Linked DNA regions of Elephas maximus indicus. The protein of the gene in region 2 interacts with the protein of the main gene of each other region in a biochemical or structural test. Links are inferred from orthologs where the notes say so. Each region holds a gene or a part of one and is shown on either strand. Other genes may lie near its edges.

What was found.
Region 1: the proteins of SP1 (region 2) and RARA form a complex in vitro, tested with the Homo sapiens proteins (2 studies listed by BioGRID). The link is inferred for Elephas maximus indicus from reciprocal best matches to the Homo sapiens genes SP1 and RARA.

The regions. Positions count from the first base shown.
Region 1 is NC_064837.1:47,498,310-47,505,502, reverse strand, and holds the start of RARA (retinoic acid receptor alpha), read right to left. Parts: upstream 3,017-7,193; 5' UTR 2,838-3,016; coding exon 2,683-2,837; intron 2,480-2,682; exon of another isoform or gene 2,472-2,479; coding exon 2,296-2,471; intron 1,753-2,295; exon of another isoform or gene 1,192-1,752; coding exon of another isoform or gene 1,023-1,191; intron 1-1,022. UniProt on the Homo sapiens protein: Receptor for retinoic acid. Retinoic acid receptors bind as heterodimers to their target response elements in response to their ligands, all-trans or 9-cis retinoic acid, and regulate gene expression in various biological processes.
Region 2 is NC_064822.1:108,874,501-108,881,439, reverse strand, and holds the start of SP1 (transcription factor Sp1), read right to left. Parts: upstream 3,015-6,939; 5' UTR 2,931-3,014; coding exon 2,924-2,930; intron 1,884-2,923; coding exon 1,729-1,883; intron 1,403-1,728; coding exon 1-1,402. UniProt on the Homo sapiens protein: Transcription factor that can activate or repress transcription in response to physiological and pathological stimuli.

The DNA of each region.
Region 1 (7,193 bases), on a different chromosome or scaffold from region 2:
CAATCCAGGTGTGTAACCCCAGCCCTGAGAGCACCTGTGATGATGCTCAGAGTCCTTCCCTTCCAGAGGAGCATGAACCCAGATAAGGCAGCAGGTGAGCAAGGTGACCAGGCCACCAGGAGTCCTTAGCAGCATCCCTCTTAGGAAGTAACAGTCCAGTGACTGGCCCTATCCCTGACTGTAGAGAGGGTAACAAATGGAAACAGCAGGGTTGAGAATAGATGCATTCCTCAATTCCAGAGTAGCCCCAGACCCATAAAACGGAACTTCTCCCCAGAGAACAAACCAGACTAGGGGGAGGGGGGTTCTCCCCACCAGAGCAGCTTCTCACCACTCCTGGGACAGGAGTCTCAAAGATGACAACCAAGTGTCTAGGGCCAGGACAATCCCTAGATGGATCAGGTGCCCCTTCCCAAGGTGTAAGGACTGGTTAGGATGGCAGCCGGGTGTCTGATCAGGTTCCCCTTTCTGTCACACCCCACTGCCAGCAGCACTCCCCTGACACTCTACTGTCCAAAGAGCAGGGGCTGGGGGCAGCAGCTGCTGCACAGGAGGGGGCTCTCCCTCAGACCTTGGTAGGAGCAGAATCTGGGAAGGAGGCCCCTCCTCCTCAGAGCAGGCAAGCCCACAGACAGGACCTTCACCCCTCCCTCTAGGGTGGGAGAAAGGACCACTCAGCTTCAAAGCACTGGATTCTAAGCAAGAAAATATAAACTGGGGGAAAGGGGCTTCATTTTCCCTGAAAGAAGTGGGAGGAGAGAGGAACGAATGTCTCCTGAAAGAAAGAACCCCCAAAGTTCTTCAGACCTAACAAAACAGAAACAGCACCCAATGGTTGGTGGCTGGCGCACCAATTGTCCAGCAAGGACATCTGAGTTTGAGCAAACGGGACTAAGGAGAAAGTCAAGGGTCGGAACAAGCCACCAACGTGCCCCAGGCTCGCATCCCTGGGTAGGAGTGAAGGCCCCGCCACCCATCCCATCAGCAGCTCCTACAATGAGAGAGGGGAGGCCGGTACGTACAGTGGTTTGAGCCATTCCAAAGCGGAGTCCGGAGCGGGGTGGAGTAGGGGCCCGGGGCGGGAAGCCCTTTCTCCGGGAGCAAACAGGCCCGGTTCTGGTTATAAAAATCCACCACTAGGAAGGGGTTAGCGGAAGGGGTGAGCCCCCCCACTTCCACACTCTCGTACATCTTCCCCCGCGAAGACAAGAGGTCCGGGCGGGGAAGTCCTGCACCGCCCTCTCACTCAGCCGTGGGCGCCATCCGTGGAAAGCCGCTGGGGGCGAGGGACACGTCCCCCCACCTCTACTGGTGGCCCAGGCAGGGAGCCGCCCCCTGCCCTTAAGTCCCCGAGTCTAAGTCCGCTGGCAGTTCCACCAGTCCCAGGTGAAAAGCGTGGAAGTTGTGCGTGCTGGGGGGAGGGTGTCCCTCGGCTCTCCCAGGGAATGCCTGGCGGAGGCCCGGGAACTCAGCGGCTTCACCTCGAGGGGCTCCCGTCTCAGTCTCCTCGTGTCCGAAGCAGAGTCCACCCGCTCCCCAAGTCCGCAGGCAGGGGGTGGGATTGGCGCAGGGCGGCGGGAGGGGGTCACCGAGCACTTCCTCCTCCCAGCCGGGGCTCCCGGGCTTCTCCGGGTGAGGATTCCGGGTGGGGGTGGGGACCCACGCGGCTCCGCCTCCACCGAGGCCCGGGGTAGCAGCAGGCACCTCGCTGGGTCCCCAGCAGTGCCCGCCGTGCCCCCTACCCCCAGCACAGCGAACCCCCTCCTCTTCAGGCCCCACCCCCTCCCCTCCACCCCGCCCGGTTCAGGCACCGCCCCTGGCTTAACCCTTCCCTAGCGGGTCTGGCTGCAGAGGGCAACACGCTGGGAACCAGGGAACGACAGGGAGAGGCGGGATGTGGACAGGAGAGGATTGGGAGCCTGGGAAGGGGAGGAGAAAAGAGGGGGAGGAAGGGGAGAAAGGCACAAGAGGAGGAGTAAGCAGAGTACAGATGAAGGCAGGGTACCAGGAGAGGAGTGGGCTGCGGGGCCGAGGCAAGGACAGACGTGGGAGGGGGTCTTCACCCACCCCCGTTCTGCCTCCCGGTCTCCCAGATGGTTTGGTCAATACCCTGCCAAACCAGGGGGGAGCAGGAGGAGGCGGTGGTGTCTCGGTGTCCGCCTCCTAACACACACCCCCACCTAGCCTGGGTCTCATTTGCCTAATATAATACGGCTGAACTCGCCTGGCGGTGCCTCACCTCCGGATGACCCACCCACCGCCGCCCGTGACAACACCCGCTCACCACCGGCTCACCAGCCTTGCCCCGGGGCTGGCCGGCCGGTCTCCTGCCCAGCCGGGCCTGGCCGGCTCCTCCATACACTGGGAGAGAGGACACGGGAGGGTAAGGGCTGCGGTGTGAGCGACCGAGTGTTAGCGCCAGGAACGAGGCATGTCGGGTGTCCGGGGTGTGACACTGCGTAGCCGGGGCGCTGTGTCGGAATGAGACACCCGGCTTGTGTCATTGTCTGTGACATCATGTGTGACTCCGGCTTCCCGCCCGCCAGAACCCTACAAGGCAGCGCGGGCGGGTGCTGTTGGCACACACACACATAGAGGGGGCTCTCCTCCCTAAGCTCTGCTCTGCATGCTTCCTCCGCCTAGAGTGTCTCCCAGCCCAGGAACCAGGATGGGGGCCCCCACCTCACAGTCCAGCCTTGGAGAGAGAAAAGGAGGGGGTTGGTGCCTTCCAGCTGACCACTTTCTCCCAGAAGCCCAAGGTTGCCTATTTCATTTGAATAAAAACCAAGGTTAGGTAGCTCCCTAGAAGGAGGGAATGACCCTAGAGGAGGGGGCATCCCATTACCCACCTCTTACCCTGTCGCCAAGCTCCCTCCCTCTGAAAAAGAAAGGAATGGGAAATTACATGCTTCCCAAGGATGTTCTTCTAGTAGCCAGGTTCTTCATGTATGTTGTCATTTAATCCTTACAGGAACTCCAAGACATAAATGGGCATTACTCCTATTTGACAAATAAACTGAGATCTCCGCAAAGCTACGGGTGGGTGTTCCCAGGTCACACTACCAATGAAGAGCACAATGAATATCTGAACTTTCTGCTGCCAAAGCCCATGTTCCCACCATGCCAGGCCAACTGGATTGTATCTCAAGAAAAACTATTTTCTGAGCACCTCCTATGCGGATACCCTGGTGAGCAAAACAGTCCCTGACCTTGTATACCTTACAGAGCAACAGACATTAAGCAAATAATCACAAATTATATATACATACATGTATACATATATATATATATCTAAAACACACCAAACCCATTGCCATTGAGTCGATTCCAACTCATACTGTCCCTAAAGGACAGAGTAGAAGTGCCCCATAGGGTTTCCAAGGAGCGCCTGGTGGATGTGAACTGCCGACCTTTTGGTTAGCAGCCACAGCTCTTAACCACTACACCACCAGGACATATATACATATATGCACACACATATATATAAATGCAAACTGAGACAAGTGCTATTATGACATAAGCATAGTGTGCTTTAAAGGAAAATTAATGGAGGTACCTAATTTAGGTTGAAGGATCAGGGAAGACCTCAAAATAAAGCAGAAACCTAAAGAAGGAGTAGAAGTGAACCAGGCAGAGTAGGACAGAGTACCGTCTCAGTAAGAGTGTGTGCAAAGGTGCTGGGGTTACAGAAGTTGGTGAGTTAATTCAAGGGACTGACAAATGACCAGGGTGGCTGGAGCAGAGAATTCAAGAGAAAAAGGGATACAAGAACAGGTGGGCTTGTAAGGCCCCAATAAGGCTTTTGGATTTTATCTTAAACGCAATGGGAAGCCACAGAAAGGTTCCAAGGAGGGGAGAGGCAAGATCAGATTAATAGCCCCAAAAGATATTCCTAGCAGCTGTGGAAAGAATGGATTGTAGGAGGGCAACAGACAAGTTAGAAGCTACTGCAACAGGTCAGGCAACAGAAAATGGTGGCCTGGGCTAGGAAATTAGCAGTGGTGATGAACAGAGGAAGGTGGGGTCACGAGATCCTTTAAAGGTAGAATCAATGTGGGGATGGGAAAGGAGGTAGCAGAGAGGACGTTCTGGTGTATGGCTTATGCAACAGCAAAGTTCCTCCTGAGACCGCAAAAGAGAGAAGTCCACTGGGCTATTGGGACAGGTGGGTGTGGGACTCAGATATGAGGTCTGGAAGGCTGGGGCCTGGAGCAAGTATGCAAGCATTGGGAGTATATGAGATTGCCAAGGAATCACAGACCCTGGTATCTTTCCTCCCAAATGATATAGCTCCTGGGTACCAGTTATGCACCAGGCTCTGTGTTCAGAGCTACAAGGCACTAAGGGACCCAAGACCCTGTCCCTGCCATCAAAGAACTTATGATCAGGGACAGGCCTCCCAAGTGATAGCAATTCACAGTAGGAACAAGACGGGGTAGTGTAACTAGGTGGTAAATGAGTGTTATTTGAGAAAAAATAAGGACCCATAGGCATGCAAGGAAGGGGGAGACAGTGTGGCAAAAAAAGGGGGAAACATTTGCAAAGGTTTCTGGGAAGAGGCAGCATGCAAGATGTTCCTTAAAGGATGGAGAGTATTTCCAGAGCAGGACAGGAGGAGAACCTGGGGGTGTGGGGTGAGATGGCTGTTCTGGGCAAGAGCAAGGTCGTGCAGTGGGTCAGAGCAGAACGCCATGTCCTAGGGCAGTGGGAGAGGAGGGAAAAAGGCAGTTCTGGGGCCTGTTTCAGCCGCACCCCCCTCCAGGGCTTTGCGTTTATTAGGCCCTCAGCACATGTGGGCTGAGCTGAACTGGCCACCTTATGCCAGGCAGGGTTCCCTCCTGTCCCCAACCCTATCTGGAGGCCCAACAAACAGGAAGTCATGAGGCCCGGTGCCAGGCAGACATTGGGTCCCAGTACAGGGTGACTATCTCCCAGGACAATGCCTAGCTCCACCCCATCATCACTGCCCTTGCAAGATACTTGCAGCTCATCCAAGCCCTCGCCAGCAAGCGCTGGCCAGCAAGTGGGTCACAGTGGCCTCACAGCAACTGGCCCAGCCAGGAAGGGATCTAAAGAGGAGGAAACAGACTCAGAAAGAGGTAGGGCGACCTGCTGAAGGCCGAGCAGGAAGAGGTGTCCTTTAAGACTTCTGCCCAAGGGAGCTGTGGTCTATGGGCTAGCTGGGGTTTCCAGCAACCCAGAAATCAAAATGAAGTGGGAAGGGCCTCTATTTTTGACCTAGCCAGTACTGTGCCCACGTTCCTAGGAGGGGGAAGAGGAGGGAGCTGGAGGAGGGAAGCAGTCTGAGCCACCCCAAAATGATTTGGAGAAGAGAAGTACTTCCTCCTTCCTCAGATGTTACCCCCAAAGGGCAGTCAGGCCCTGCATGGGAGTAGCCTCAGGAGCATATGTCAATTGGTATGGGGTGGAGAGGGCGACAGGCTTCCTTTCCTTTGTCCCCTCCCCCAGCCCTTTCTGGGATCCTGCCCATGAGGGGGCCGCTGCATTATCAATGCTGGGAGATAAAAGGTGAGGGGCCCCATTTTCATTCAAAGCCCCAGATCATAGTCTTTTGGCTGATTCTGCATTTTGGACCCTATGAAAGCCTTTGCTAGGCAATACCCCCTCCCCCTGGGCTGTCCCTCCTATTGTCCAGGGAAAGAGTAGGGAGAGGGAGGGAGGATGCACAGGCAGCTGGCTTGGGAAAGGCCCCAGCCACCTTCCTCCAGGATGCCTTCCCTGACTGCAAAGGGGAGGAAGTGGCAGAGAAGGGGGACAAGGAGAAGGGGCACACCCAGAGATCCTGTGGCCATCCCCCAGTCCTAGGCACACAGAGCAAGTATGTGGACAGAAAAGTCTTGATCCACTCTTTTGGGGCTCTCATCACCTGGCTCCTCTATTGAGTGCTTCCAACTTCCCTGCCCCTACTCCCCAAATTGAAACAAAATAAGAATAACAACTGTGGCTTTTCCATTCTGTTCCTTCTGTGTCTGTCTGGAAGGAGGGTACCCACTGAGCTCTGCAGACTCCACAGGCTACAGCGGGCAGACTCCGGGCTGGGGACGGCTGCTAACAGACTGTATCTGCAGCTTCCAGGATAGGATGCGGATCTTCCTGGCCTCTAGTCTCCCTTTCCCTCCAGCCTCAGCATCCAAAACAGAGAAGAGGGAGTGTGGCCTGGGTCCTTCCCTGTGCCCCCTACTGGGGAAGACAGGGGTCAGACTGAAGAAGCAGGGTCTCTGCCATGGGGCAGGGGTGTCAACAATGGCACTGACCCCCCAAGGCTCTCCACACACAGGAGTGCCCCCACAAGCCCCTCCTGCAGCTATCAACCCCACAGACCCAGCTCTGCCCTCACTTAGCCTCTGCCAGCCCCGGTTTCCTCATGTGTAAATGGGAACCAAGCCCCACTCCCAGGACTGTAAGGATTAAGATTTGTACAACATATACAAAGTCCTCAGCACACAGTAGGTGCCCCACAGATGTAGGTATTCCTTCTCTCCAGTTCCCACCTAGAAAGGGCCTGAATTCCTTTTCACTACCACGTGGTAGGCGCTGCACCCCCACCATCACACACAAGGCTGCAGCTAAGGTCATTACGTCTATGTTCTTGCCTAATTCTCATCCTCTAAGGGAAGTTCTCGTAATATTCTTGTTAGGCTGACAAGGAAACATGCTAAGAAAGGTTACCAACACATAGCAAGCAGCAACGCCAGAACTCGAACCCAGAACCGGCACCAATATCTAAGCTCTTAACCACTAAGCCACACTGCGTACTCCAAGCCCCCAGTCAGACCCCTTTGCCCCTGAATTCTGAGGGCAAGCAACAAACAAGGCAGGGCAGTTTTCCTTTCCAGCCTACAAGAGCGACTCATTAGGGGGAGAGTAAATGGGAGTACGTAGTAAGGTGTATATAAGCTTATATGTGACAGACTGACTTGATTTGTAAACTTTCACTTAAAGCACAATAAAAATTATTAAAAAAAAAAAAGGAAATAGAGACCCTCCCTCCTCAAACACACATATAGCAATCCACATACCACTCCCCTTCATACTCTATGCCCTAAGCTACCCCACCCCAACCCCAACACACCAACAAGCTGAGATCCCCTCCCTGGTGCTTGACTTGATTCTTCCAAAACATGCTCAACTCTCTGACCCTCTCCACCCAATACACACAAGCCCATTAACCC
Region 2 (6,939 bases):
GCTGTGCAGCATTCACAGTGACTGTGCCAGCAGGGATGGAGGCAGCTGAGGCAATGGGTGTAAGGGTGGTGTTGCTGCTGCTTGTCTGCCCCAAGGAAACACCCTGCATTGGAGCCAAGGTGATTGTCTGGGCCTGTGGGTTCTGAACTTGGAGGTTCTGCAGCTGAAGAGTCTGCCAACTGACCTGTCCATTGGGCCCCACCGTTGGTGTCCGGATGATGATAGGGCCAGAGTTTGGAACAGCCTGAAGCTGGAGGTTCTGGAGGGTTTCCTGGGAGATAGCTTGAGTTGTAAAGGTCTGCCCTGACAGTGGTGCTGCTTGAAGGGCCTGAAGGGCCTGTCCCCCTTGAACTAGCTGAGGCTGAATAAGAATCTGTTGTTGCTGTGTCTGCTGGTTTTGCTCTCCCTCTTTTTGCTGACTTGTTTGCAGTGAGCCTCCAGATGTCTGGTTCTGCTGGATGTTCAGAGCATCAGACCCCTGTAGCCCACTGACCCTCTGGGGTGTCTGGCCTTGAGAGTTGGTCCCTGCTGATCCGCTGGTGGTAAAGTTCATAATTCCCATGTTGCTGGTGGTAGTAGTTGTTGAGTAGCTATTGGCATTGGTGAAAAAGGAGCTGGAACTGGCTTGTGATACCAGACTAGCAGAACTGATGGCAGTCCCTGAGGTGACAGGCTGTGAGCCACTCTCCTGGGACCCAGAGCTGCTGATCGTGACTGCCTGAGAGCTGGGAGTCAAGGTAGCTGCAGAAACGCTGTTGACAGGTAGCAAGGTGATGTTCCCATTCAGGGCCACTGGTACATTGGTCACATACTGAGTCTGTCCTGAGAGCACATTATTAGCCAGGCCTTGCAGGGGGACAGCCTGCTGGAGCAGGTTTGGCATAGCAGCAATGATGTTGCCTCCACTTCCTCGATTTGTGATAATCTGTTGGTTTGCACCTGGTATGATCTGAATTTGACCAGAACCATCCTGCTGCACTTGGGCCCCAGTGGCTGCAAATTGCAGCTGCTGCCCATCAACGGTCTGGAACTGTGGGATTACTTGATACTGAATATTGGGCATCACCCCAGGCAGTCCTGTTAGGACTTGCTGGTTCTGCAAATTGGGGGCCGCAGCCACAACATACTGCCCACCAGAAACCGTGCGATTCTTGGAAGACTCACTGCCATTGCCGCCATTAGTGCTGCTGCCACTCTGCTCCTTTGAGGTAGGGGTAGCCCCAGAGGAGGAAGAGATAATCTGCCAGCCATTGGCACCCTGTGAGAGTTGTGTGGCTGCAAGGTCCAGCTCACCTGTGCCCCCTGACTGGCTTGGGCCCTGGGAATTGTTGCTGTTTTCATTGGGTGACTCAATTCTGCTGCAAGTTGCTGCTAAAAGAGCCAAAGGGGATGGCTGGGACTCCTGGTCAGAAAACAAGGAAGAGAAAAGGAGTTATTGACACCCAGCTGCCAGCCTAGGAGGACAGTGCACAACAAATAAAGAACAAAATAGTGCAGACAAATAACGACTAAAAACCAGAAACAAAAAAACCAATCTATCTGTATTGCTGCAATTTCCATCTCTGGGGATCTCCAAGTCATTTCTCTCTCTCTATACTTACTTCCTCTATCTGTAAAACTGTTTAGTCCTTTCCTAAAATTTTTTGTGTGAGTAGTTAAAACAATTATCTAGGAGTATTTACATGCTCTCAACATATTCCCCACACTTTATCTCTAATCATCACTTACCTGACCTCCTCCTCCTCCACTGCTGCTACTGCCTGTGCTGCTGCTGCGAGCCTGAGAAAAGGCACCACCACCATTACCACTGCCCCCATTATTGCCACCAACTCCTTTTTCAATCTTCACCACTGTTGTCATTTCATCCATGGAGTGATCTTGTTCTAGAATGAAATAAAAATAAACAACATAAAATTGGGGAGAAAAAAAGGGTAAAAGAACATTATGATGAAACAGAAATGACTAATAGGAAGGTAAAAGGTGCCTGTTGAAAGAAAATGGATTAGGGGGGAGCAGTTGTAGGACAATATGACGTGAACCAGGCTCTATGGTGCCAGAACTGGGCCTCAATTTTCCTTTGTACAAAATTAAACTCAGAAAACATTCAAAAAATGCTTTTGGGATAGGAAATGTGAGGGACTGTGGGTATGTTGAAAGAGTTTTAAAATAAAAAACATGCCAGGGGAAAAAAGGGAGAAGGCCAGGTAAGGCAAAAAACAACATGTGGGTGGATGGAAAGCTTGCTAAAATTAGTGTTAAAGGACACGGAAAAAGAAAAAAATACAAACATAGAAAGTAACAAGAGAACAGAAAAGGGAAAGATAAATGATGAAAAATGTGAGTGGAGACACATTAGTAAATACAGGTAAGGAGCTAAAGGGGTCTTGGGATTAGAAATCAGGTTTCGGGGCGGGGAGAAGGCGGGCCCTAGGGAGAAAGGGCGGTTTCGGGGTGAGGGGCGTGGAAAGGGCGGGACGATGGGGGGGAGGGGAAAATACAGAAAAAGGGGGGGGGGAGGGCCTTGGGGCAGGCGGCGACCAGAGGGCGGGCCAGAGAGGCGGTTGGCCCGGGCGGGGCCTGCACGGCTTGGGCCGCCCCCGCGGCTCCAGCCCCCGGCGGGAGGAGCCTCAGGCGGGCAGTCGAGTAGTGGGGGGTAAGGCCCGTCCCCCGTGGCCGGGGCGGGCAGGGGGCGGGCGAGGCCACGCTGCCCCCTCCCCCGGGGCGGGCGGCCCATCCCCCTCCTCCTCCGAGGCCCCGCCACTGCCCCTTCTCCCTCCCTTCCCTCCGCCCCGGGCGGGACCAAGGCCGCCGCCGCCGCCGCCTCCCGCCCGCCCCCCCTCACGGCGGGGACCGCCCGGTCGGCCCTCGCGCGCGCCCCCTCACTCCCCTCCCACCCCTAAGCTTGGAGTGGACTCATCCTTACCGCTCATGGTGGCAGCTGAGGGACGAGCTCAAGGGGGTCCTGTCCGGGGGGGTTGGGGGGGGCCGGGAAAAACGCGGACGCTGACGAGGCAAGCGAACCCGGACCGGACGGGGAGGGGGGGGGTAAGGAGGAGGGAGCAGCGCGCCACAAGCTCGGCCTAGGCCCCGCCCCTTCACTGCTGCCCCGCCCAATGAAGGAGGGGGAAAGGCGGGACTTGTAGAAGAAAGGCGGGCAGGGTATCCAATAGCACGACTCAATTGCTCTCTAGGGCGTGTAAGACAGAAGTGCGTGCCTGGTATCCGCCCCAAAATGCCGCCCTCTCAGTTTTAAAAACCAGTGAAAGATGCAGGAAGTGAAAATGGGCGGGAGCTGGAGATGATAGGCTTGGAGGGAAGCCAGTCAACTGCCAGGCGGGCTCCTTGAGCGGTAGCGATAGGGAGAGTTTTGATAAGAGTGACAGAACAACGACCAACCAGAATTCTGGACATGCCTGGGCAAAGTCCTTGTGGGAGGAGAGGCCGGAACGGGAGAGGATGAAGTTGATCAACACCAATCAGAATTCAGGCGGGCAGCCAGAAAAGTCATGATTGGATAGACACTGAAAAGAGACAGATCAGGACTCATATTGACGTGACTAAAACCCTATTATCCGCCGAATGAACTCTGGGGGCGGGAACCTGGAGGGGGCAGAGCAGAGTTGGCGTCTACCTCAATCGCTCGGCCCAATGAAGGGGCGCAGTAGGCCAGGGACCGCCCCCAAGTTGGCCAATGGGCGTTACTAGAGCCGCCCATCATGGGGAAGGGAACAGGGCTGTGCCAAGAGGAGTTCGTCGCCATATTGGCCCTCCTTAGGGGACGTCTTTTACAGTGATTAGATGGTACACTTAAGCAGTACCCTGTAGCTCCACAGGTGTCAGGGCAAAGACCAAGAAGTCCCTTCAGCGCGCAGTTCTGCCCCACCACCCCGGCTCGTTTGAGTCCTCATTGAACCGCCCTTAGAAAGTACCTCTCACCCCTCCCGAGGCCGACGAATGCCTCTGAGTGTGGGTGTAAGCCCTGTGAGTGTAGGCGAGGTGAGATCTGGCGACAGCACTGTCAAAATCAGTTAATACGGAGCTGACCAATTTACAAGGTTTTTGTGAGACTCTAGCAAACACTATTAAGTTCCCGCAGAGAAAGCACAAGCTACTTGCAGCGGGTTAACTTTTCAAGAGTTTCTCTTTGGGGCTAAAGTGCATTGGAGAACCTCCCCAAGGTCCTAAACGGCTTCCTTTTTTAACCCCCTTAATTGTAAATACCGCGTAAGTGTAAAGCAAGATAGCCGAGTTCCTGTTTCTTGAGACGAAAGTTAAAGGACATGGTTTTGCCCGAGGCCCCTTAAGTTCTGGCCTCCATTTTGCCTCTTTATCCCTGTTTTAGTGGAGGACGACTGGGTGGCTTGTAAGTGACGTAATGAGGTCATTCTCTTTAGCACTTTTATCTTATCACTTCTTTATATATTTTCCTGTTTTAAAGTCTGAATTTCCCCTAAAAGATTTTAAGCCCTTTGAAAGCAGGAACTTAGGCTCTGGTCCTTTGGGCAAGGCTTGGAAGCGATGAAGTGATTGTTGAATGCCTACTGTGTTAGGTGCCAAAGTGGATTAGGTGCTTTGCGTACCTTTTGTCATCTTAATAAGAACGATATTATTAAGTAGTGTTAATATTATTTTATAAGTGAAGAAACTTAAGCTGAAAAGTTAAATAATTTGCCCAAGGTCACAAAGCTTTTAAGTTGAGCCAGATTCCAGACCAGAACAGTTCCGCAAAAAAAAGTCTACAAATTGTTAAGTGAATAAAACAATGCCTTATATAACCATTTGTATAAGGACATTCTCCAATTTTTGTTGTTGTTTTTGAAGAAAACTGCTTTTGCATTGTTACTTTCTATCTCCTGAGAAAAACCTACCTATACACTTTTTTTTTTTATACACTCAGGGCAGCTGAAATGGCATCATCTTGTACACCTTTATTACAAACTTTATCACTTAACCAACATCAAAGTTTCTCAAAATGTAATATCAGTCTGTAACAATCATCTGGGGTGCTTTTTTAAGAAGCAGATTCCTAGGCCTCACCCCAGACCTAGTAAATCAGATTCTCTGTAGTGGAGTATGGGATGAGGTTTAAGAATATGCATTTTTATGCCGTTTTTTCAAGTGATTAGTTCCTAATCCAGAGTTGGAGAAACACTAAGGGAAGAACTGCATTACTCATCTTGGTAAACTAAACACAGGAGATTCTAACAGCTGTTCAGTATAGTCAGCAAAAGACCACACCTAAATTTACTGGGGAAGGGGAAAGGAACTATTTTTAGCACACTCTCTAAACACTTCAAATATATTGTCTAACTTAATCCTTTTAACTGATAATAAGAGACGCCATACCCTTTTACAGATGAGAAGAGAGAGGCTCAGACACTTAAATTATGGCCTGTTGTTTTAGCTCCAAAGCCTGTGGGTTTTTTTGTTGTTTTTCCCATAGTTCTTATAAGCTAGTCTATGCCTGAAATGGAAACTAGGGTTTGGTTTTATTCCCAGGTACTGAGAAAAAGATCTACATTTAGACTCAAATTCAGTAGCCATCCTCCCTTTCACAATTCTTTCCCTTTGCTCTTCCTAGGACTGGATAGAATTCAGCACCTGACCAATGAGGAATGTCTTTGACATATCCTTGCTTATTGATAGTCTCTGAGAGCAAATGAACCATGATCCATCTTGTCCAATTCTCCTGCAAAAACTGTAGCAAAAAAAAATTTCTTTAGACCAAACCAAAAAAATTTGTTTTTAATGCATAAACTTATTTCAGGTCTTCTCAAAATCCTTCCAGTGTCTGTCTACAAAACCATTTGCAAGATCATTTAAATAACTCCGAAGGACTTTCTTTAAAGAGCAATGTGATTCCTATGAACTTGAATTGTGCCTGGCTGTGATGTAGTAAGCCTCACACATACTAAGTGCTAACACAGCAGCATGGCATTGAAGTCTCTTAGTGGTCAGCCCTTCACTTATTCAGGCTCATTATCCATTACTGTCCACTGTACTCTCTTACCCTTCACTTTGTTCTTGTTGAAATTTCCCCCAAAAGCCATGCTTTCTGGGATCTTCAAAGTCTGGACTTTTATAAGTACAGTCCACTCAGCCCGTCTTCCTTCTGGGCTACCAGACAAACTCTTATTCGTATCTTTGATAAGTACAACTTCTCTGAAGTCTTCCCTACCACTCCCAGGTATTGAATATTCTGTCCACTATATCTTTTTTACATACCTCCATTAAAAGTATCTAAGTATCCATTGTCCCCCAACTAGACTAGGCAACTTGAGGACAAAGATGATGTCTTTTCATTTTGTATTCTCAAGATAGAGCATATAGTTGACACCCAGTAAACACTGTTAAATGAAAGGAGAGGCCTAGTAGTGACCATCCTGAATAGGTCTCGAGACACACAATGGAATAAATCATTCTTCCTGATTCTGAAGCCACTCTTCAGCTTTGATCAATTTCCCAGTTATGGATCTGGTAATTATCTGATAATTGGGAACATTTTATAAATTAAAATATACAGATGATCAAAACCCTCCTTTTATACCATCATTATAACCTTGCCTTTCAGCAAACTTTCAACTAAAGCTAAGAAGAAAAAAAATAGTGACTTAAGATAATAATGTCTAAACAGTCTTCTAACCTTTACTTTCTAGCTCTCTGTAACAAGAAAACAAGCCTAAGTTTTTTTCTCATCAGTCTGTAATTAGTAGGCTAATACCGTTTGCAGTGCAATGGTGACTGTAGAGGCTGGATGGGTCATCACACACATCCCTCAGCCTTTTAAAGGCCCTGGAAAGGCAAGAGCCTAATCCAGAAAAGAACTGTAACAAGGCAGGCTTTTTTTGTTTGGGAAGTCCAAAACCTGGCTACAGATATTATTATTACTATTTAAAACAACTCATCCTGTACCCTTTCTGTGCCTTTGTTTCCTTATGT